Elephas maximus indicus: one gene and its partners. The protein of the gene in region 1 interacts with the protein of each later gene in a pairwise test. Links are inferred from orthologs where the notes say so. Each region holds a gene or a part of one and is shown in the gene's direction. Other genes may lie near its edges.

What was found. The genes of interacting proteins can lie anywhere in the genome.
Region 2: the proteins of CCHCR1 (region 1) and CCDC102B interact in binary tests that used the Homo sapiens proteins (3 or more experiments, as listed by UniProt). The link is inferred for Elephas maximus indicus from reciprocal best matches to the Homo sapiens genes CCHCR1 and CCDC102B.
Region 3: the proteins of CCHCR1 (region 1) and NUTM1 interact in binary tests that used the Homo sapiens proteins (3 or more experiments, as listed by UniProt). The link is inferred for Elephas maximus indicus from reciprocal best matches to the Homo sapiens genes CCHCR1 and NUTM1.

What each region holds. Positions count from the first base shown.
Region 1 is NC_064819.1:91,462,726-91,470,703, reverse strand, and holds the start of CCHCR1 (coiled-coil alpha-helical rod protein 1), read left to right. Parts: upstream 1-4,977; 5' UTR 4,978-5,117; coding exon 5,118-5,324; intron 5,325-5,619; coding exon 5,620-5,686; intron 5,687-5,763; coding exon 5,764-5,977; intron 5,978-7,747; coding exon 7,748-7,978. Other genes in the region: TCF19 (transcription factor 19), read right to left, coding at 670-904, 1,448-2,012, 3,056-3,284. UniProt on the Homo sapiens protein: May be a regulator of keratinocyte proliferation or differentiation.
Region 2 is NC_064829.1:76,614,868-76,622,749, forward strand, and holds the start of CCDC102B (coiled-coil domain-containing protein 102B), read left to right. Parts: upstream 1-4,872; 5' UTR 4,873-4,928; intron 4,929-5,716; coding exon of another isoform or gene 5,717-5,762; exon of another isoform or gene 5,763-6,193; intron 6,194-7,882. Other genes in the region: protein disulfide-isomerase TMX3, read right to left, coding at 4,657-4,711, 5,717-5,762. UniProt on the Homo sapiens protein: During interphase, forms fibers at the proximal ends of centrioles to maintain centrosome cohesion. During mitosis, dissociates from the centrosome following phosphorylation to allow centrosome separation. Contributes to CROCC/rootletin filament formation.
Region 3 is NC_064828.1:23,983,174-23,990,887, forward strand, and holds the start of NUTM1 (NUT family member 1), read left to right. Parts: upstream 1-4,704; 5' UTR 4,705-4,716; coding exon 4,717-4,886; intron 4,887-6,317; coding exon 6,318-6,457; intron 6,458-6,952; coding exon 6,953-7,242; intron 7,243-7,532; coding exon 7,533-7,649; intron 7,650-7,714. UniProt on the Homo sapiens protein: Plays a role in the regulation of proliferation. Regulates TERT expression by modulating SP1 binding to TERT promoter binding sites.

The sequences.
Region 1 (7,978 bases):
TTTCTGTTTTCCTGGTGGTGCTGGTGAAGGCAGTAAAAGTTTTGCCGTCCTCATGAAATTAACCAAATCCCAACTACCTTATTTTAATGGCAGTGGTTTAAAAGAGCCAGACATGAATGAAATTGCTTGTTTTTTTATTTGGAAATAGAAGCAGAAAGTCCAAAAGATCTCAAAAGTTAGGTTATGATGATCATGGCCAGGGGTAGGACTAGCCACAGTATAGGGCAATTTGGGGGCCAGGTCCTAGGTTTTCCCGGAATCCTCTAGGTGATACCATCAAAGGACACCAAGAAACCCACTTGTCCAATACTGGGGCTTATGATATCTTCCCAGGCATGGCCTTTGCAATTGATGGATGCTGTGGTCCCAGACTTTCTGGTGTCCGTGGCAACAAGCTCTACCACCTGTCAATGGGAATTTGCAATCCACTGGCTACAACTTCTTGGAGGCAGTATCTTTGGCAGGAAACATCTCTTCTGTCACCTTTGGCCATGAGCGCCTGCTCCAGTCCCTGAATTCAGTATCCATGGCAATGGGCTCTTCCCTGGCATCATTCCCTCCTGGGGAGGGAAGGGAAGAAGGGGGCATCTCTTAGGATCCATGTGCACCTTGCTGTTAATGCCCCTGGCCTGGAGGCCCCAGCTCTGTCCTCTCTGTTGGGCCTTAGGCCTAGATGCCAACACCGCATCCTGGGCATCGGAAGTCTGCCTCCCTGGCTGCCTGGATGCTGCAGCCAACACAGGCCACATGGAACCAGGTGTCACAACCATCACACTGAACCCAGGCCACTGTCTCTTCTTGGGGCAGGCAGCAGCGGGGAGCTGCACAGGGTTCCCCGCCCCCAACTGCAGGGGGGGCCATGGGGGCGCTCACTGGGTGCTTCCGAGGACGCCCACGACGGTTTCTAGGAAGTTGAGGGGAAGACACAAAAACGAGGGTCACTGGAAAACTGTAGGAGAAGCCTCGAAATCTGGGTAACTGCAGGGTGAACCTGGAAACTCCTTGGAGGCTTGTAGTGTGAATCTAGATAAACTCTTGGTAAGACATCTGTAATGTGAGCCTGTAAACGGTCCTCAAAATCTGTAGGGTGGATCTAGAAACAGTCCCTGAAAATGTGTGGGGTGAGCCTGGAAATGTCCCATCCTTAGGCACTAGAAGAGTGGGGTTGAAGATGTCTGAATGTAAAAGTAGGAATTCTGTGCTGATCTATTTTAAAACCACTGCCCCCATCCCACCTAACTCTTGCTGTGTCCTGTATATATATTGTTTCTGTCAGCAGAGCTAGCCCAGGTCTTGCCATTCCAACATCAATTCCACCTCTGCCCACTACCTCCCATCCCCACCCCCAAGCAGAAGGCCTCTTCAGGGCCTGGGGTTCTGAAACAGAATTAGAAAGCAGTGAAATATTGCTGGAAGGCAGACATGATCGGAAGGCCTCTCCACTTACCCGATGGGTGTCGGTGGGGTTTTCTCTCCTCGCAGTTTCTTCCTGGGCTCCATGAGGACTGGCGGGGGGCTCTCAGGCCCTTTCTCATCATCGTCCAGTTCTGCCAACACTCGGTGAGCTGATTTCCTCCGGTTTCTGGGGGCTGGGGTTCGGGCAGAAGGGGTGGTCCCCACTTCCCCAGGGGGAGTGGGAAGGGGTAGGCTCTGGGGCCCACCCCCACCCCGGGAGAAGGTGAGAGGCTGGGGCTGGAGTTTGCTGAGGCTGCCGATGGAGTTGAGGATCAGTGTAGCCTTTGGGGCAAGGGAGAGGGTGCTGAGGGGCCGCTGTGGAGCCCCCTGAGAGGGCAGCATCGGCTGGAAACCACCCCCGGACCCTGCTTCTCCCTGAGACAGTGGGATGGTAATGGCCGCAAAGTCCTGAGGTTTGACTCGAACTTGTTGGAACATGAAGTAGAACTCGGAGGGGCTGGTTCCTGGGGTCCCTTCAGGGCCAAAGGTTAGGAGGTCACCATCACTCAGCTCCAGCCTGTGACCCTTTGGGAGTCGGACATTATTGACTAAGGTCCCTGTTGATGGTGGGGCACCAGACAGATACAGACAGTGACAAAAAAGAAAGGACCAGAGTCAGGAGTGGAGAAATTTAGACCTGTTCGATTTTCTGGGGCCCATCAGGAGGAATATGACATGCTGTTGTCCTTCTTCCCTCCCTCATATTTTAAGCCCCTCAGGTGGTGACACCAGATAGTAAGCAGCTTGTGAGCTGGGAACAAGTTTTTTTTTATTGTGCTCTCCACGCTGATTCCTTTCCTCTCTCTGAGGTCCATGCCTCCATCTCAGTGGAAGCTCTCTCACCCAGCTCCAATTCAAAGTACAGTTATTATCTCAGCATAGCTCTGGAGCCAGGCTGTTTGGGTTCAAATCTTGGCTCCACCACTTACCAACTCTGTGCTCTTGGACAAGTTTCTTAACCTCTTTGTGCCTTATTTTCCCCATCTGTAAAATGGGGATATTAATGCCCCCCTACACTCAATGCACTTAAAACAGTGTCTGGTTCAAACAGGAAGTCTTAAATGAGTGTTAGCTACAATAATTATCTAATCCTTACACCTACCAAAGCAGACCCACTAAGCCTTACTATTTAGTTTTATCTAAGAGGAAACTAAGACCCAGAGAGGTGACGTGACAGGCCTGAGGTTTCACCAGGAGCCAGTGGCAGAACTGGGGCGTGAACCCGGGCCTTCTGAGGCTGAGACTATAACTACCTTTGAGTCAGGGAGAAAAAGATACACTCCCATTATTAAATTGTGATTTAATGCAACTACTTAAGATGGAAACAGGTGCCTCAACAAACCTGGAAACGGTCCAGTCTGAGTCTGGCCCCCAATGGCCACAGACATACCCCCTGATGATGTCCCAGGCACCGGATCTACTTCCCAGCCCCCTACAGACAGCTTCTGACACCACCCCTTTGGGGGGAAAATGATCTGGACCACAGCTCTATCCAACCAGACAAGGATTTTGGAGGCAGGCAGAGCCCCCATGGAGCCCCTTAGTCAAAAGCCTGGATCTGCAACCCTTCAGGGGCAATGCCGCCCTGCTCACTGCTCACCTTGGCTGCTGTGGTCCTCCAGACTGACCCTCCAGTCATCACCCTTGCGCTCAGCGTGGAGCTCGGCATGCACCCCGGAGATGAGGCCGGGCTCCCGCTGGGGCCGCAGAGCCACATCACACAGGTCGGCCCTGCGGCCCAAGCGATAGGTGCAGCCAGCCCCGGTGGGAGGGTGGAAGGTGTAGAGATCGCTGCCTCCTATGCGCAGCAGCTGGAAGCAAGGCAGCATGGGCGGTGCTTCTTTGCACCACGCCTTCCACTTCAGGAATCCATCACTTTATGCCGGTCCTGGGTCGTGTATGGCTGGTCCAAGTTCTCTTCCGAGTGTGATACTCAACCTGGAGCACACTCCCTGAGTAGGGGAATTTCAGGGGACAAGGAGCCTAGGCATGCAAAGCAAAATTGGCAGTCCAGCAGCTTTGCAACTGGAAAATTCGGGGAAGGTCCTTGGTGCAGTGACAAAACAGGAACACGCCCTATGGCACCTCAGTTGAGCCGGATCCTCAGGCCGCAAAATAATCGGAACGTCTCCAATCTGTGCAAAGCAATGATACCTTAGGCAGCTTTTGGGCAAATGCCAACTGGAGGGAGTGGGGGCTTGCTTCTGTGCAATAGAGCGCATCACCTCAGTGTAATTTGAAAAAAGCAGCTTCCTGTCAAACCTGCTTAGCCAAATGGAGTACCCCTTCTGCTCGCCCGCATCCCGCTTTTCTGGTTAATCCTCACTCGGAACTATTTAGTTTGGAACCCTGTGGGAAGCGAATCCACTGTCACCCCCCGAGAAGTCCCCCAAGTTCTTCACCAAAGCAGATCTAAACCCCTGCTTCCCAGTTTCCCTGGGTGGGATGAAAACAGCGGATGGAGCTCCCCGCAATCACGCAAGACTAATTCAGCCCTTTCCCTCCGGGTCCCAGCCCGGTTTCGGATCTACCCACGCAGTGACATCTCGGAGTGGTCTCCTTTCCAGACAGTGTCGGTCTGTGCGGAGGCCCCAGGACCCCTCGGGCTCCTTGGCCCGGACCCGCGCTCCCGCAGATGTTTGACAGCGAGGGTGCCCAAGCCAGGAGGGGCCGGGCCTCTGTGCGCGGGCTGACGCGACCCCTCCTTCGGAATTCCCGGGTCTCCAGTTCGCGCAGAGGGGGCCCGCCCCCTGATGCCTTTGATTGGGCAGCTCTCTTGTCCTCGCTTCATCCCATTGGGCAGCGCACTGGTATCCCTGCACTCCCGCCTTTCACCTTTTCTGATTGGTTCACAAGTTTTCCCGGGTTCCCGGAGTTGGGAGGAGCCACCAGGGCGCGGAGATACTCAAACACTGTAATTGGACCCAGTTTTAGACGCTACTGCGCCTGCGTACACTTCGCCCCTCCTTCCGGGGTGAAATCTGGCTTTGGAGCGGCCCACAAACCGGCCCGCTCTGCGCAGGCGCACTCAGGGGCGGAGTCCAAGGCCCCGGAGCTGGGCGTAGGGGGTGTGGCCTAAGGCAGAGGGGGTGTTCTCGCGCTGGGTAAGGGGCGTTCGAGAAGAGTCGGTTGGGGGCGGGAAGGGGCTGAAAGGGGTGCGGGGGTGGGCTTAGGGGGTCCATAGGAAACAAGAGGTACAGGGGCTAGATGAGGTGGTCAGAACAGCCTTAGCGCCCTGAGGGTGAAGGCTCAGGGGAAGCGGGTGTCTGGGGAGAGCGGGGTTGAGAACCGAGCATCGGCTGGAGTGCAGGGGGCGAAAGTACACTGATGAGTTGGGAGGTGAGAGTGAAGAGCCAGGATAATTCCTTCAGGGTAAAAACAGATTAGGAGGTAGGGAGGGACAGGAGTAGGTCCCCGATTAAGTCAAAAATAGATAAATTGGGGTGGGATGGTGGGAAAAAGATCTTGAAGAGCTAACTGTATGCTCCAGGACTTTGGAGAGGGGAGAGTGGGCAACAGGAATGAAAGCTGAGGGCATAGTAGAAAGAAATTGAGAGGAAGGTTGCAGGGAGGATTTGGATGAGATGGCAGAAAGACGGCCTTCTGCCTAGGGATCTTGCTGGCTGTATTCCCAGGGATCCCGGGGAGGCGTTTTGCCCCACATGTGGCCACGTTCACCTGGGGCCAGGCCTTGGGCAGGGGCTTTTACAGGGAAGGACCCAGGAGTCATGGCTTGGTGGTGCCTGGATGGGCTTCCCCAAGGCCTTGCTGAGCCATGGAGAGAACTCTGGAGATTGGGCTCGCAGCCCTTGGAATCCATAACTTCGATGCGCAGGACCAGCAGGGACTATAGAAGCTTAAGGAAGAGGGTAAAAGCACTGTCGAGAACCCTAAAATTATGAGTAGAACCTAAGTGCATCCCTCCTCAGGCTGTCTCTCAGTAAATTTCCTCCATCTCTGGGGTTATTGCCAGAGTTCTGTCAGGATCTTGGTTGGGACAACCAAGTGAATTTGCAGCTCCTCCTTTCAGGAAATAGGAGTAGGTGAGAGTGGGGTGGACCTGGCTGCTATTTAGGAAGGATGACTTTGTTAGTGTAGGGGCTTTCTTTTTGGAAGTAGGACTGAAAATTGAATTGGAGTGTCCTTTTTTCTCCAATTGTCCAGGGGAACATGGATGGCTGGAGACAGAATCTAGAGCTTTCAAATAATGTGGAGACGTTGCGACCTTCAGGTCAGTGGGACTAGGCAGGGGACTGGTGATTGCCTCTCCCTGGGAAACTGACCATCTGTGCCCTTGTGATTCCTCAGGTTCCACTGGGCTAATTCCCCCATCCCACTTCCAAGCTCGGTCCCTTCCAACTCTGCCAAGAATGGCTCCCACCTGGGTTGCAGACATTCCCTTGGTCCAATCCCCAGCCCATCAAGATGTCTCAGAGAGGCGGCTAGACAACTTGAGACCTCAAGTGCCAATGTGGGAACGGGATGCTTCTGGTGATGGGCAAGAGCCAGGGCGGAGAGTCAGGTAGGGATCCATCATTGTCGTTTTCTCAGGCTTGCTTGCCTTTGACCGTCCATCAAAACAGATTCCTTACCCTGTTTCAGCTCTAGGTTCCATAATTTGTTCATGTTTGTATAAACAACTATTGGGTGCCTACAACACATAAATAATAAGGCTAGGGATGAGGATAACAAAAATGAATGAGAGATCCTGATATTAAGGAATGGAAAATCCTGGGGAAGGAGACAGATTGGTCAACAGGTGATCCTAATAAGCATGAAGATGTGCAGACCAGGAGTATAGACTTGGTACTGTGGTGGTGAAGGAGCCCTGGTGGTGCAGCGGTTGAGCACTTGGCTGCTAAGTGAATGGCAGTTCCGACCCACCCGGTGGCTCTGAGGGAGAAAGACTGGCGATCTGCTTCTGTAAAGATTTACAGCCTAGGAAACCGTATAGGGTAGTTCTGCTCTGTCACATTGGGTCGCTATTAGTCAGAATCGACTGACAACACCTAACAACTGTGGTGGTATGGAGTCATTCTGATGGTGTAGCTGAAGAAAGCATTTACAGAGGACATGGCTTTAGAGCTGCCATGCTATTTGTTGATGTGCTGTCTGTAAAACTTTTTGACCTTTCATGTGTGTTTTCCCCAAATAGACTGGAATGTCATTCTGCCATTTTGCTCTAGAGTGGGCTTACACACATGAGTCTACCTTGGACCCCACCAAAGAGGAAGGACCATAATGAAGAAGAGGGACCCCTGGACTGGGGACGGAGACCCTCTAATGCTAGCTTGGCTGCCAAGTGGCAGACCTTTGCCCAGTTAATTTTCTTCTGAAAAATCTTTTGGTTTTGGGCTTCAATGAGGAAGCTATCGCAAGAGCCTTGTTATGAGTTAGTTTAAACTTTACACGACACCAGTAGACTATATACTCCCCAAAGGTAGGGTCTATGTAATTTATTGATGTACTGTCCCCTTTGACTCCTCATGTAATATACTGAGCACTCACTAGGTGCGTTTAACTAACCCCTGGCCTTACTGTACTGGTACTAGAAGCTCATGAGTGCTATACCTTTGCTCCTCCTTCGAACTTTTCCTTGCCCTTACATCAGAATTCAGAAGTCTCTGAGTGTTCTTCCAACCTCTCCACTCAGAATGTGTTTCCTAATGGCATACCCTATTCACACTGTTTCCCACACCTCTTGCTTTCCTCTTCTACTGCGACCCTTGTGTGCATTTGATGTTTAATATATATATATGGCTCTCTCTAGGTGTATGTCTCATGACCTCAACTAGCCCTTAGGTCCTGTGAGCCCAGACCAAACCCACTGCCATCGAGTCAATTCCAACTCATAGTGACCCTATAGGCCAGAGCAGAACTGCCCCATAGGGTTTCCAAGACTGTAATCCTTATGGAGACAGACTGCCACATCTTTCCCCCATGGAGTGGCTGGTGGGTTTGACCTGCCAACCTTTAGGTTGGCAGCCGAGTGCTTAACCACTGCACCACCAGGGCTTCTTATAAGCCCAGACAGTGGACCTGATATGTGCAGGGCCTCAATGAATGGTGATGGTGATGTAAATATAGAGATCCCTGTGTAGTATTCCTCATGCCTCTCTGCAGAGGCCCCGTGGCCCATCTTCATGCCCCTGCCTACCCCAATGGGAGCAGAGGAATCTTTTGCCTCTTCCTGTCTCCTATGACCCTGGGTGGGAGCAGAGAGGCCCGAGTATCTGTGTCCAACCTCCCAGTACCAGAAACACATCTCACCTATGTGAACCTGTCTTTGAAGGTCCCTGGAGGGGTCTCAGGCCCTGACCCAGCAGGCTGAGTTGATCTCTCGGCAGCTGCAAGAATTGCGGCAGTTTGAGGAGGAGATCCGGCTCCTGCGGGAGACCTCACTGCAACAGAAGATAAGGCTAGAATCCCAGGCCATGGAGCTGGAGGCTCTGGCGCGGGCAGAGAAGGCAGGCCGAGCTGAAGCCGAGGGCCTGCGGGCTGCCCTGGCTGGGGCTGAGGTCAT
Region 2 (7,882 bases), on another chromosome or scaffold:
CTATTTGCTCTAGGGCCAAGGACAGCCAGTCTCCTCCTTTAGCTGACAGGTGCAACCTGGTTGATGGTTATTTTTCCCTTCCTCAGTGGAGCGCTGTTTCTGGTGAGCATTCCCATGTGTAACACAAAGCTTACTAGGAGCAATGCTGATTTTTATCTAAATGTCTTGTCCCCACAGGGGGCTTGTTTTACACACCAATCTAAGGCTTGCCAGTGGCCCAACCAAATGGCCAGGCCACAGCCACAGCCCATGAGTAAGTTAAAATACAGCAGAGCTCCTTTGTTGGGTTAGCCAGAGTAGTAATCCATACTGCATGAATCTGCCCATCATGCTGAGTTTCCTTTACCACACTCAGTAAGGGGCAGGTCTTTCTCAGGTTAACTGGCAGCTGCACCCCATTTCACCCCAGTACAAATTAATCTAGCAGAGCCATCAGTGAACCAGGCCCATGTGTGGTCTGGAAGGTCTCTATATCTGGGTCCCTAATGGGCCAGTGGAGGCAGCAGATCCTTGGTCAATACGCCTGGGACGGGTAGGGGCACTCCTGAGACTGGAAAGGATTCCTGAACTGCCACAATGCAGTAATCCAAGGCCTCTGCTCAGACTGACTTGATTGGGATTTCTGGTTGTATGACTACTTCATGATCATGGCTCATGTTCTCAGCATCCACTAAGAGGCCAATAATTGTTTGTTAAAAGGTGTATATCTTTCAGTCAACTCCAGGAACTCAGAGGTCCAAAAGCCCAATGGGCACTGCTGGCCTGTGGCAATGATTTTCTGCCACAGGTTCCAATCTGAGAAGCTGCTGAAACCTATAAGTCAAACAGCAAAAGTGGATGGGTGCGACCCAAAGGAAGGGGATCCAGGTGGGTGTGTTGGAGAGAACTCCTGGTGCCCTGTTGGTCAGGCCCCACTTAAAGGTAACAGCCCAGTAGGTGGATGCCAGTAGCTGAATAGGTCCAGAAATCGCTGTGCCTCTTTTTTATTTTTTAGGGCAGAGAGAGCCAAAAGTGTGACAATCTTCTCTGGAACGAGTCGTTGTGACTCCATTATGCCCAGGAATTTCACCTGCATACTAGAGGCCCTTGTCCCTTGCCTGTGTTAATGGCCCAGCTGTGTTACTGCATGTGTGTCATCAGGACCTCCAGCCCTTATCGGGTGATGACTGTCTGGGTCCACCAGGAAGATGTCATCAAGGCTAGTACTCCCACTGGGAGTGAGACTTTTTCCAATCATGGACTACCCATTGCTGGCAGACAGCTGGGAAATTCAGGTAGTTTTGTGGAAGAACCCTTTAATGCGGATTGCAACCCATTCTGCAATGAAGACAAATCAAGCCTGTTCATACCCATGGAGAGGTTATGCTAAAAAGGCAATTGTGATGTCAACTGCTGAATACCAAGTTCTCTCAGCTTGGGTGACAGCCTCTGTGACAATCACAATATCAGGTATCACTGGTGCCAAGGGTGGGACTACAGCACTGAGTGCCTATAATCAATGGAAAGAGTCCAGGCACCCAAGGCCTTTTGCACAAGCCAGACAGGCTAGGCTTCCTTAAGCTCAGCAATGAGGAAGGTTCTATCTTTTTCTCCTCCAGGTGGCTGATACTATTTTTAGGAGACAACTGCACTGGACATTGGTTTTGTTGTTGTTAGTTGCCATTGAGTTGATTCTGATTCATGGTGACCCCATGTGTGCAGAGTAGAACCATTCCATATAGTTTCCAAAGCTGTGACCTTTCAGAAACACACTGCCAAGTCTGTCTTCTAAGGCGCCTCTGTGGGGGCTAGTAATTGAGCTAGCAGTAAAGCTAGTAGTCGAGCAGTTAACCATGTGTACCGCCCAGGTGCCAGGGGGACTACAGTCTTCCACATGCCCCACTAAGATGGCCCTACTACAATAATTCCCATCAGGGCTTAAGAGTGAAGGTGAGTAGTTCTGCGCCCTGACAATACATCAATACCAGTAATATATTCAGCAGAGTGGCCAATAAACGCAGGTATGCAAGAACCTGAAGGTTACTTGGGCTTAGGCCAGGGTATCAGTGGCAGTGGCCTCAAAACCTGATGGTATGATCTGTTTCCCTCTCATGCTGGTGCCAGGAGTTGCAGTGATCACACTCACCTGTGTACCAGTATCCAAAAGGCCCAAGAACTGCAATTTTCTCTCAGAACTATGATCTTGGCATAAGACCTCTGGTGCCCCTTGAGGACAAAGGAACCTCCAGCTAACCCCTAGTCTTGTGTATTTTTTAAAGATGAGAGGCCCGGTGTCTTAGTTTATCTAGTGCTTCTGTAACAGAAATACCACAAGTGAATGGTATTAACAGAAATTTATTCCCTCACAGTTTAGGAGGCTAGAAGTCTCAAATCAGGGTGCTGGCTCTAGGAAAAGGCTTTCTCTCTCTGTCCACTGTGGGAGAAGGTCCTCATCAATTTTCCCCTGGGTTTAGGAGTTTCTCAGTGCTGGGACCCCAGGTCCAAAGGATGTGCTCCACTCCCAGTACTTCTTTCTTGGTGGTAGGAGTTCCCTCCTCTCTGTTTCCTTCTCTCTCCATTTATCTCTTGTAAGGTAAAGCTGTGACTCAAGCAAGGGTGGTACATCCCACCTTGATCCTCATTAATATAACCTAATCATGCCTCATTAACATAGTAGACAACTCTACTCCAAAATGGGACCATAACCATAAGCATAAAACCCGTAACCCACTGCCGTCAAGTCGATTCCGACTCATAGCAACCCTACAGGTCAGAGTAGAACTGCCCTATAGAGTTTCCAAGGAGCGCCTGGTGGATTCGAACTGCTGACCTTTTGATTAGCAGCCACAGCACTTAACCACCATGCTACCAGGGTTTCCCCACAGGCTAAGATTTACAACACATAATTACATCAGATCACAAAATGAAGGATAACCACATGATACCGGGAACCACGGTCTGGCCAAGCTGACAAGAATTTTTGGGAGGACACAATTCAATTCATGACACCCAAGTAAAGTTGGCAGGGGTCTCCAACTCCACTGGGGACAACACTTGTATTAGCCACAAGGGACTATCAGTGGGCAGATACTAATGAAGCTGCCTGTCAGACCTCCATATCAAAGTACTTGGCCAGTAGTTCCTTGGCAGAAAGCCTATCAATCTCCTCCTTTGAGACCCCTATTTTCAAGTAACTAGACTGAGTCTTTTCAGGAAGGCCCTTGGCCGGGCTGCCCAGGAAAAGGCACCTGGTTACCACTCTTCTGTTGGTCGATCTTTGCTATCTTGGCAGTAGCCATTTTTTCCACGTCTGGGAATGTCAGTTAAGATTCAGATTGTATCATGGACCAAATGACCTGACCTCATGAGGAGGTTTAACTGGGCCAGGTAACCAGAGAGAGTAGTACGGAAAAACCTAGAAATCTGGGTCAGGTTAACAGTCTCATGACCCAATTATTCCCAATCCCTCATTATAGACCCAACGGACCACCAGGGTGGTTCACAGGGACACTATAGTCTGAGAGGGTGGCCCAGACATGTTTTTCAGTGGCAGGAAACTCTTCATAGGTGGGACAGACCTATCAGAGCCCAAACAGTACCCAGCTGCAGAAGGAGAGTCTCGATGTTCATGCCCTCTCACTAGCCACCTCCTCCTTAGGCAAACTAAGGCTTCCTGTCAGTGCATCTGCAAAGAGGTCTGTAATGACATGCCCTACAAGGCACCACTCCCTCACTAAGTTTAACAAGATCAACTTCTTCATTATGGAAGCCAACTAACCGAGGCTCTAAGGTCTCTTCAGGCTGCTGGGCAAAGGGATCCTGACAGGCCCTACATTCTTTTTTACTGAAGGCCTGAGATTCAATAACTTGCTGTGTTGAAGAAGGTCTGTTGGCACCAGGACGTGCTGGGAGCTAACAGCAACCACTGGACGCAATTTTGCACGCAGAGCACCCGAGTAAGTATGCAGCGCAGATGGGGAATCCTCTTGCTGCCGAGGAGCCACAAGCAAAAGGCTTCTCCTCTTCATGAACTGGGCGGGCGGGGTGGGGGGGGGGGCCTGAGGGTGGAAGGTCAAAGTGAAGGGAAGTAACAAGTAACAAATGGAGGTGCCTGGGCTAAGAATGCAGATATGCATATGAGTATGGCTGGCAATTATGGGGGGAGGGGTCCTGAGAGCCTGACTACAACTCCCTCCAGACACCACAGGGCACCAGCTGTGCAACTCGTCTGGTGTGGGCAGCGCAGCTTCTCCCATGAGGCCTGCCAGTAACTGCTTATGGTCAGGCCTGAAAGAGTACATACAGGATTTTGGCTTGGAGCTAGGCTCCCCAGCTACTATAAGCAAGGTCTTGGGACTAATGCTGTGGGGGTAAAAGATATAGTATGTCCCAAATTCCGGCACTCACTCAGGTGCTATAGAATGGTAATATAGAATATTGAAAGGTCTGCCACGTTTTTGACCTTGTAAATATCAGTAAAACTCTTTTGAGCATAACCCTATCTCATATATAAACAGCACTTAGAACTCCTGGGATAAAATCGGTAATATATGAGCATAGTGTCTATTATTTTTATTAAGATTAGAATTAGATTATTAAGATGTGAACATGTAAATATTCAGGTTAACAACAGAATTAGAAATTAAAATACTATTGAAACAAAATACGTATACTCACGAGTCATCTAAATCTGGCACCACACTCTTACCAAAAGCCATGTCAAGAAAAATAACTGAAAAACAGAAAGAAGAGACTAAATGTATACTTCTGATTTATCATTTCGTTCACACTTGACGCTTAGTCATCTATAAAACGTTTTTTTTTTTTTTTTTGATGTTCTGACCAGAAACTCTATCACTGATTCATCCCGGGGTACAAGTGAAGGAAAACCACAAGGAGTTCATTTGTTTGATAGATATTTATTCTGCAACGTAATTTCCCTGTGACAGGTAAGTCCTACGTATGATAGTAAATTCAAAATATAAAAGCTCTTTTTCAACATATCTTTCCTCTGATCCTATTTTTCCATTTTAGCATTCCACCTGTTCGGAGCAGAGACAGAAATTGTTCTATACTTCTCCCCTTTCCTTAGTACTTCTAACTTCAAGTGCCATCCAAAATATTATTATTTTTTTAATATTTAGATAGAAACAGAATTGAGCTACCACTCTAGTACTTATGACAGAGCAGTGCCTGGCACATAGTGGAAAGGCAACAAATGGTTGCTGAGTAAGTGAACGCAGGGAGGCCGGCAGGAAGAGGCCCAAAAGGGTCACCACACCGCTGTCGCCGTCACTGCACAATTCCAGCGGTCTGATAGTGATCTGTCCTTGACCATCCTTCCCTTTGCCCATGGATGGTGAAAACCCTCCAAATACGACAACACTTGGCCCCTAAAAAGCCAAAGCAAAATGTGGCCACACGTTGGGAAAGTGTCACCTGCTCGCCTGTCTGAGAAGCCAGGGCGACGGTACCCCTGCCACAAAAGACGAAGACGAGGACAGGGAATCTCCTGGGGGACAGCGCATCTTTTGGGGCCTGGCACCGGGTATGCACTGCAATGCCGAGTGGGTGGAGGACCCTAAGGTGTCAGGACGCCGCAGGACTGCGCGGGGTCCGAAGGGGGAGGCCGGGAGCCCGCAGACGTCCCCGCGGACCCCGCAGGTAACCCCCAGTCCAGAGGCCACCCCCGGCGCAGGGGTGATCCCCGGCTCTCCTGTCTCGCGCGCGGCCATACCTGTGGCGCAGAGGCGCAAGGCGGTCGCACTGCTCAGAGCTGCCATGCTCGCCGCAGTAGCGACTCCGCAGTGGCCGGGACAGACGCAGGCGCCGGCCGCCGCTCTCCGGAAGGGGAAGCGGGCCCCTTCGAACGCGGAATGAAGCCGGGCACGGAAGGCGGGGGCGGGGCAACCCGGCCTCTGTTCTCTCCCGGACCCCGCCGGCCCTGCCTCTGAGCATGCGCGGACCGCGGGGGCGGGGCGGGCGAGCCTCTGCTCCCTAGTGGACCCGGCCAGCCTCTCCTCTGGGCTTGCGCGGGGGGCGGGGCGGGGCTGGCGGGCCTCCGTTCTCGCCCCCTCTGGGCTTGGTTTAGCGGGCTGCAATCGCGAGATGACGTGCACGCGCAGTCGCCTTATCGCGGAGCGTCTGTGCCCTTGGCCGCGTCTGGGGGCTATGGGAACCTGGTGGCGCGGGCTTCTTGCGGTTTGGGCGAAGAGGTGTGTGTGTGTGTGAAGGGGAGACGAAAAACTGAAATACAAATTCTTAAATTAATACTAAGCTTTGTACTGAGGATGAGGTAGGCTTCGAAAACGCAGTTTGAGGTTGAATCTCGCCTGCTCATTTACCTGCTACACCTGTTCAGTGAGCCCACCAGTGCGTTGGTTGGTGGATCACACTCGTGAAGAGAGGCACGCCTTAGTGTGGGGAGAAAAACGGGCCCTGGATCACCGGGTTCTGTGACACTGCCTACATTTCCAAAACGTGTTTGGAAGCTGTTTGAACCTGTTTCCAAAATTGGGCATTTTTTAAGTTCTTTTAATAAATTTTTGCTAACTAAAGGAGTCCGTTTTTTAAAATTTGTTTCTCTTGAAAACTGAAAAAAATGGCCTGTATCATTTGTAATGATTTTTTTCCTCTATATTTTCTTTTTTTTAATAATATTTTATTATGGTTTAGGTGAAAGTTTACACAGCAAATTAGGTTCCCATGTAACAATTTTTATACAAGTTGTTTGGTGACAGTGGTTATAATTTTCATAATATGTCGGCATTCTCATTATTTCCATTCTGTTTGTTTTGTTTCCATTGATCCAGCTTCCCTTCCCCTCCTTGCCTTGTCATCTTTGCTTTTGGGTAAATGTCGACCATTTAGTCTCGTATAGTTGATTGCTCGAGGAAGCACATTATACATGCATAATATTGTTTTTTTTATTAAGCCAATCTATTATTTGGCTGAAAGGTGACCTTCAGAAATAGCTTCAGTTCCAAGTTCAAAGGGTATCTTAGGCCAGCAGTCCCAGGGATTCCTCTAATCCCTTTTGGTCCAGTAAGTATGGCCTTTTTTTAGGAATTTGAATTTTGTTCTGAATTGTTTTCTGATTCTGTCTCAGACCTCTTATGTCCCTGGTCAGAATGGTCGGTAGTAGTAGGCGGAGACCACCTAGTTCTTCTGGTCTCTGATTAAAAGAGGCTGTGGTTCCTGTGGGCTGTTAGTCCTATGGACTAGTTTCTTCTTTGAGCCTTTGGTTTCCTTCATTCTCTTTTGCTCCATTCAAGTTGAGACCGATAGTTGTATTTTAGATGGCTGCTCACAAGCGTTTAAGAGCCCAGGCACTATTCACCAAACTAGGATGTAGAACATTATTTTTATGAACTATGTTATGCCAATTGACTGATTTGTCCCACTAGACTATGGTCCTAAGTCTTTTAACCAGGGCTTCTTACAAGTTCCCAGGCCATGCTAATGCTCCTGGTTAGGGACCAATTATGAGAATCACTAGCAGAGCAGTGGTTCTCAAGATTTATTATATGAGTATTACCTGGGGTTCTTGTTAAAATGTAGATTCTGATTCAGTATACCTGGGGTGGAAATGTAAATTCTCAGTAGGGTTCAAACTGGAATGAACCAGTTTGAAGCCTTGCTTTTAACCCAGTAAACCAATCCCACAAGTTGTTTGGATATGCTCAGGAAGCTTCCATAACTGTGTCCCTTATGTGCTTCATTATATAAAAAAAAAAAAAAATCCAGCACGCACAAATGCCTACAGATACTCCTATACATGCAGGTACGTTTACTCACATATGCCTTTCTATACACATATTTGCATACGTATCTGCCTATGTAACCACACACAGTTTTTTTGATGTTATTGTTGTTGTGAACTTGTATATATTAGAGCATTTAC
Region 3 (7,714 bases), on another chromosome or scaffold:
GAGACACACATCCTGAGTAAGTACACATCTTGTGTATTGGTCCCCTTGACTAGCGTCGACATGAGCTCCTCGTGAGCAGGAACTCTGTTCCAGGCTTCATGGTCCTTCCCTTTGCACACGGTTCGGTCTTAGTGGGCCCTAAATTTCTAGGTTATTAGGAGCTCAAAGCAGAAGAACCACAGACAGTGTCCTTTGCCAAATTTTAACTTTCCCAGCAGTTACTTAGAGCTCCCTCCCTATTCCTCCAGGAAACCCTGGTGGTGTAGTGATTATGCGCTACAGCTGCTAACCAAAAGGTTGGCAGTTCGAATCCCCCAGGGTTCATCGGAAACCCTATGGGGCAGTTCTACTCTATCTTACAGACTCGCTATTAGTCGGGAATCGACTCAATGGCTGTGGGTTTGGTTTGGTTCTATACTTCCCCCCCCATTTTCTCTCTAATCATTCTTGATTTATATAACAAAATTTCTGGGAACCAAATATCTAGTCCACACCACCTCTCCTGGTAACAGCACTTCTGTGAGTGGTGGCAGGGACCACAGAGCAGCTGGGAGCAGGGCTCAGGTTTGAATCTCTGCTTGGAATGGAGGGGAATAGCAGATGTACATGTATGCTGGGTGGGATGTGTTATGGGGTGTAAGCTTCATGGGTCCAAGGGTCCTTGCTCCTGCTAGTCGATTGCATCTTTCTTCTTCTGTGTTTTAGGTCAGGAAAGAGAGGGGAGATTTATAAGGTAAAAGGAAGACTGAGGAGGAGATAGGGCTAATAATCTTTTTGAAACTGCCTCCTTAAGGGCCCTGTGGGTACCTGGAGAAGGGGCAGAACCTCTCTAGACTAGGTCTCTTACACGCTTGTGAGCCTGCTCTGGGCTGTTTCCTCTGCAGAGCTGGTGTCAACCCTGTTCCATGTCTTGGCAAACAGCCTATGGGGCTGGCAAGGAGGTCACAGGCAGTGATGGCTTGGGCTTGTCTCTTCGTGGCCAATAAGGGTCTCCATGTCTTTTTGGAAAGGGAACAATTTCTCTAGTGTAGTAATTCTCAGCTGGGAGTAAAGAACATCCAGATCACTTGTGGGGGCAGTTGCAAACTACATAAGTTCCCCGTCCATGCCTCTTCCCCCACCTGTTGAGAATCAGTTCTCTGGTTCTTTAGTGATTTAGGGGGACCCAGATGGTCTAATGCCAGTCTCCCTCTCTCCTACTCCATCCGCTCTTTTTGTTTGTCTCAACAGCATCTCCGTTGTCAGGACCGGATATGACCATGAAACCTGGCGCTGCCATGTCTCCTTTCCCTGCCCTTCCCTTTCCGCCACCTACTCCAGGCCCACCAGACCAGCCACCCTGGGAGCCACCCCCATGGCCTTCCATGCCTTCAGCCTTCTCTCCAGGCACCCCTCTAGTGCTGTCTGCTTTCCCCAGCCGACTGTTGATGACAGGGGATGGGGGCCCTGGCTCCAGTGGGCCCGGGGCTGGCAAGGTCATTGTCAAAGTCAAGACAGAAGGGGGGCCAGCTGAGTCCCCTCAAACTCAGAACTTTATCCTTACTCATACTGCCCTCAATTGGATTGCCTCAGGTGCTCCTCGCGGGGGCCCTGATGGTCCTCCACCTCAATTCATGACAGCCTCTAATGTGAAGAACATTCTGCCTGCTAAGACTGTTGGGGTGAGCCAGGAGGGGCCCCCAGGCCTTCTTCCTCAAGCTCTACCACCAGCGGCCCAACTGGCCCCCACCGTCCCCGTGGAGAAGGCTTGGCCAGGGCCACATGGGGCTCCCGGGGAAGGAGGCTCTGCAGCTGCCCCATCCAAGCCCTCACTGGGTGACCTCTCCTATACCTCCAAGGGCGTTTATGAGAATTTCAGACGTTGGCAGCGCTACAAAGCCTTGGCCCGGAGGCACCTATCCCAAAGTCCTGATGCAGAAGCTCTTTCCTGCTTTCTTATGTAAGTGGGGAGGCCTGATATTAATTATCCTAGGGCTTTTAAATACGGAGGACTGTGAGGTGATTAGGTTATTTATCTAAGAGTACTTGAAGGCAGGTCATGAGGGTAATGCAGATGCTATGAGAAGATAAAAGCACAATAATAATAATGATAATAAGCCTCTTAACCCACTTCCCAGTTTATAACATGCTTTCAGGTATCTTCTGTCAAGTGGCCCTCATAACCTGTGAGTTCAGGCAGGCAACTTTACCGTAATCCTTACATACAGAGAAGACTCAAGCTCAGAGAGGTTTCCTATCAGAAAGCAAGGAGCTGTGATTTGAATTGAGGTCTCTGACTGCATCATAAAGGGAGGAGCTATGATTTGAATTTAGGTCTTTGATTACATCATAAAGTGAAAAGCTATGATTTGAATTTAGGTCTCTGACTACAAGTGCCGTGATCCTCCTTTTCTCTTTTGCTACCTCTTAACATGAGTTGAGGCTTCCCAACTGGCCAGGACAAGGAGTGCTGGGCCATGACCCATTCCTGCAGGAAGAAAGGACAGTGCAGGGCCAGGCAAAGAACGTTGTGTGTACCTACCCTCACCTGCCCCCATTTTATTCAGGAGAATTCAAGTTGAATTAGGGAGGTGGTAGAGTGTGCTGGGAGTCTCTGGGTGGTGTAATGGTTAGCCAAAAGATTGGCACAGAGGTGCCTAAGAAGAAAGGCCTGGCAATCTACATTGAAAACCTGACAGAGCACACCTCTTCTCTGGCACACATGGGGTGCACCGTGAGTTGGCATTGACTCGACTGCAACTGTTTTGGTTTTTAGAGCATGCTTAGTGGTCAGGGGCTCCACTACTCATTAGATTTGTAATCCTGGCCAGGGCATTTAACATCTTTAACTGTCAGTTCTCTCATTTAAAAAGAGGATAATGATACTTACCTCAGATAGCTGCTGAGAAGATTAAATGTGTTTGTTATAGTGCTTAGCAAAGTGAATGCCTGGTTAAATGGTGGTTGTTGTTGTAGGTCCCTGGGTGGCGCAAATAGTTTGGGCTGGGCTACTAACCTACAAGTTGGTGGTTTGAACCCACCCAGTGATGCCGTGGAAGAAAGGCCTGGCTATCTGCTTTGGTAAAGGTTATAACCAAGAAAACCCTATGGAGCAGTTCTATTCTGTAACACATGGGGTCACGGTGAGTTGGAATCGACTCACTGGCAACAGGTTAAGTTAGGTTAGATGGTTGTTGTTAGCTGCTGTCGAGTTGGCCCTGACTTATGGTGACCATATTCACAGTGGGATTGGACCATTGTGATCCATAGGGTCTTCATTGTCTGGTTTTCAGAAGTAGATTGCCAGCCCTTTCTTCCTAGTCTGTCTTATTCGGGAGGATCTGCCGTGAAACCTGTTCAATATGCACACACACTTCTACTGACAGGTGGGTGGTGGCTGCACTTGAAGTGCATTGGCCAGGAATGGAGCCCAGGTCTCCTGTTAAGCAACCACTGCCTTCCATTAAATGGTAGCTGTTATTATTATTATAAAAAGGCAACATAGAAGAGGAAAAGAACTTAAAATAGACCAAAATATCCTTGCCAAGAGTGTGAATGTGTGAGTAAATGATTAGCAGAAGAGTCCAGGGTCATGTTACATTTATAAAGCAGAAATATTGGTCATCTGGGGAGTATTCAGTGCTTCTCACCCAGACCTGCTGCCTCTCTTGGGTCTGCACTGTGCCTTCAACATTTTGTATAAACAACTCTAGAACGCATACCACATTTTACTGGACTTCTAAAGAATTTACATGTTGCTTCCGCAGTGGTTGAACTCCTAAAGGAACCTCTCCCTCCACCTGACCCTGGAATGAATAAATCAAGAGACTTCCCCAAAATCCCAGTTTTAGACAATATCACTGATTCCCTGCTTTCTCGAGCCAACCTGGGATTCTCTCCCAGAGCCTGGAAGGCTGGATTTCTGAATCCTGAGCCAGCACAGGCCCTCATGGTTTGCATGGGACCTGTTTACTTTTGGTCCTGGCCTGCCTATTCCTGCTCCCACACTTAGGGGCTCTGGGCAGGGTCTTCCCCAAAGTGTAGTCCAGATGCTCTGAAACAGTCACCTAGGAAGCTAGTAAAATGCTCACTTTTGGGATCATGGGAGTGGGCTGCTGAAATCCATATTTGTAACGAACTTCCCTAGGCGATTTTGATTGATGCACAATAATGTGTGAGGACTTCACGAAAAGTCAGAGAGGCAAAAACGAAGCCCTTACCTTAGGCTGGCCTCTCCATTTCTTCTAGATCAGAAAGGGCTCAGCAGCCTTCCAGAGTGGGAGGTCTAGTATGGATATCTGGATACCTGACCGACGGTGAAGGGTATCCAGGAGGCAAAAACACTTAAAAATCAACACATAAAAACACACACAACCTTTAATGAGAGATTCCTTCAGGTTCCTTTTTTAAAAAATTCAAGAGCCTCTGGGCAGGGTTAACACCTACTTTGTAGTGACTCTCATTAAGAACACAAGTGCTCTCTCCTTCCTAACGTTGGAGGACAGCACTGTGAGAATTGGGAGTGGAGGCAGTGTGGTTGATTTCAGAATGTGGGGAGAAGAATCATCTGTTTGATTGTGTGCGAGCACATTTCAGCTGGAAGAGAGGAGAGTATGGTAAAATGAATGGATGGGAGGGTGGGGAGTCTGGAAGTGTCATTGGGTGTGGGACGTGACAGGAGCAGGGCATGTCAGGTCTGATGAAGGGCCGGGGATGTGCGTTGAGGTGGGTGGGAGGATGTACTTGGAGAATAAGACTGACCTAACGGGGGGTTTTAGCCCAGTGCTTCGTTCCCTGGCCCGGCTGAAGCCCACCATGACCCTGGAGGAGGGACTGCCGAGGGCTGTCCAGGAGTGGGAGCGCACCAGCAACTTTGACCGGATGATCTTTTATGAGATGGCAGAAAAGTGAGTCCCACGAACCCTCGTTCTCCTGAGGGGGGCTGTGTGGCTGAGAGCGATGGGGACTGTGAAGAGAAGCTGGTGTCTGGGTGATTATGAAAAAGGATGTTAGAAGAAGGGCGTAGATAAGGAGACACGCTCCTGGATCCTGGAAGGCTTTATTCTCTCCCCTCACGTTGCTTCTTCTACCACCTTTGCTCCTGTTTTTACATCCTGTCTACCCTTGGAAACTCCCCCTCTTCCAGGTCTTGAGTCTCTATGAGATTGAAAGTCTTTGGATGGGGTTGGGGAGCCTGATAGGTGTAAAAATCCCATGCTGTCAGAGGGAACTAGCCAGGAGGAGTTGAGCTGTACTAAGCAGGTTTCTTCCTTTCTCACTGTCCAGGTAGCAAGTGGCTATGGATGCAGAACCTGGGACCATACTTCCTTTGGAAATAGTGGCACATAAAATTGTTTACCTCGTCCTCCCAGGGAGGGTCTGGTCTGGAAAAAGTTGGTTAGGGGGAAGCTAGGTCCTTGGAGCCCTGAGTGGTCTCCTGGCTCTTCTCTCCCCATAATCTCCTTGGTTAAAAAAAAATAACTCAGAGGAAAATGAATCCTTTCCTCCAGGCTTAGCTTCCACTTTCTCCCAAAATTCTTCTGAACCAAATCCTCCCGGCTTTACCCATCCAGAGCCCTTGTCCTAGATTCATGACTCTTGGATCTGAGCACTGCCTCCTGGTGGGTACTGCCTAGAATTGCAGCCCTGGGCCCATCTTCAGGATTTCAGCCATCCTTTTTTTTTTTGTGGTTGTGAGGAGCCCTGGTGGTGCAGTGGTTAAGAGCTCGGCTGCCAACTGAAAGGTCGGTGGTTGGAACCCACTGGCCACTTTGCAAGAGAAAGATGTGGCAGTCTGCTTCTGTAAAGATTACAGCCTTGGAAACTCTGTGGGGCTGTTTAACCACATCCTATAGGGTTGCTGTGAGTTGGAATCGACTCCATGGGAGTGAGTTTGGTTTGGGTTTTTGTGGTTGTAGGCTGGGGCAGATGAGGCCTTAAGGAGCGGAGGGGTCCTGCTATGCTGTCCCCCGTTGGTTTAATGCAGTGAACCTGTTTTAGTGTGGTGGCAGCCACCTATGATGCTGGGTGAGATGGAGCACAGAAAGCGAAAGCTACCCTCTGTTCTAGAGAAGCTTACAAGCACTAGATCATTTTCTAAATAAGCATCCTAAGTGATGACTGCAAGTAAAGGGACCATATGGTGACCATGTGAGGTTGCCCGTGAACTGTTATTCAGTCACCTGTGCACAGCTCCCTTCTGGGTGATGTGACTTAGGCAGGACTTTGTCCAACTCAGGATACATCCTGTCCTGTGTATGGCTGCTGCCTGGTGTCTGGCTTCCTCATGGGACTGGCTGCCTTCTCAGCACTGCTCGTGCCTTCCTCACCCTCTGCAGGTTCATGGAGTTTGAGACTGAGGAAGAGATGCAGATTCAGAATGCACAGCTGTTGAATGAGACCCAATGCCTGCCTCCTGCAGACCCTCTTAAACTCGATCCTCCAGCACCCCCAGCCCCTGAGGTTTGCCAGCAGCCAGGTATGGCTACCCAATTCCACAAGGAGCTGTAGGCCAGAGGCTCAAAGGGAGGCGTGCAGAAACCAGTCGGATTAGGGAAGGCATTGCTCTCGCTTCTGCCACTTTTCCTCCAGGGAGTGGTATTTGCTTGTTTCCAACAGGACATTCCCTAGGAGCTTGGGTTCTCAGGTTTCCTTTGTCCCCAACTAGCTATTGATCTTGGCCAAGTAAACTAGCTACTCTTCCTTTGAATGTCAAATGGGGCCACAATACCTAATCTGTCGAAAAAATGGGGGCTGGATTAGGGGATTTCTTGGAGTTCCAAGATTCCTCATTCTGTGATTCTCTCGAAAACCTCCAGTTCCTAAGTCTTCTCCCATGGCTGGTGTTCTGGTTGGCCCGACCCAGCCTGGAACCATTTCATTGCACCCAGATTGCCCTTCCAAACAAGGCTGGGAGATAGAAGCTGTAGCTTCCATGCCACTTTGCCTTTCTCCTTCCCACCTTTTTCCTAAGTGTACATTCCAAAGAAGGCAGTCTCCAAGACGCGGGCCCCTCGCCGGCGGCAGCGCAAGTCCCAGAAGCCTCCAGTTCCTGAGGCACCCAAGGAAATCCCACCGGAAGCAGTGAAAGAGTACACTGACATCATGGAAGGGCTGTTGGGGAGCCACTCAGCCACTGGGGAGTCTGATGGAAAATGGGAAGAGGAAGAAGAGCAGCAGCAGGAGGAGGAAGGGATGTACCCAGATCCGGATCTCTTGAGCTACATCGATGAGCTGTGTTCTCAGGAAGTCTTTGTTTCCAAGGTGGGCTGTGTCTGGAGGTCTGGTTTCTAGTACATCATGGTGGTGTGCACTCATGGGAATCAAAGATCTGGGGTTCTTCCCAAAGCAGTTAGGGACTAGGCGGTATTCTGTAACTCCTGAGAAGTGTATGTGTGTGTGAGGATGCACACGACTATGTGTAGCTCCTGGTGGTGATGGTTTATAGCAGGGGTTGGGGAGTGGGGAGCTCATGGCTTCTTTTCTAGAACCTGTAGGTTCACAGGTTATCTCCCATCAAAAGATTCTCACATCATGCTCCTTCTGTTCCCCAGGTGGAGGCCATCATTCACCCTCAATTTCTAGCAGATCTGCTGTCCCCAGAACAGCACAGAGACCCCTTGGCCTTAATTGAGGAGCTGGAGCAAGAAGAAGGACTCACTCTTGCTCAGGTAAACCAGGGAGGTAGGGAACATCAGAACCAGACGCCCACATGAGTTCATCTAAGGCTACACTG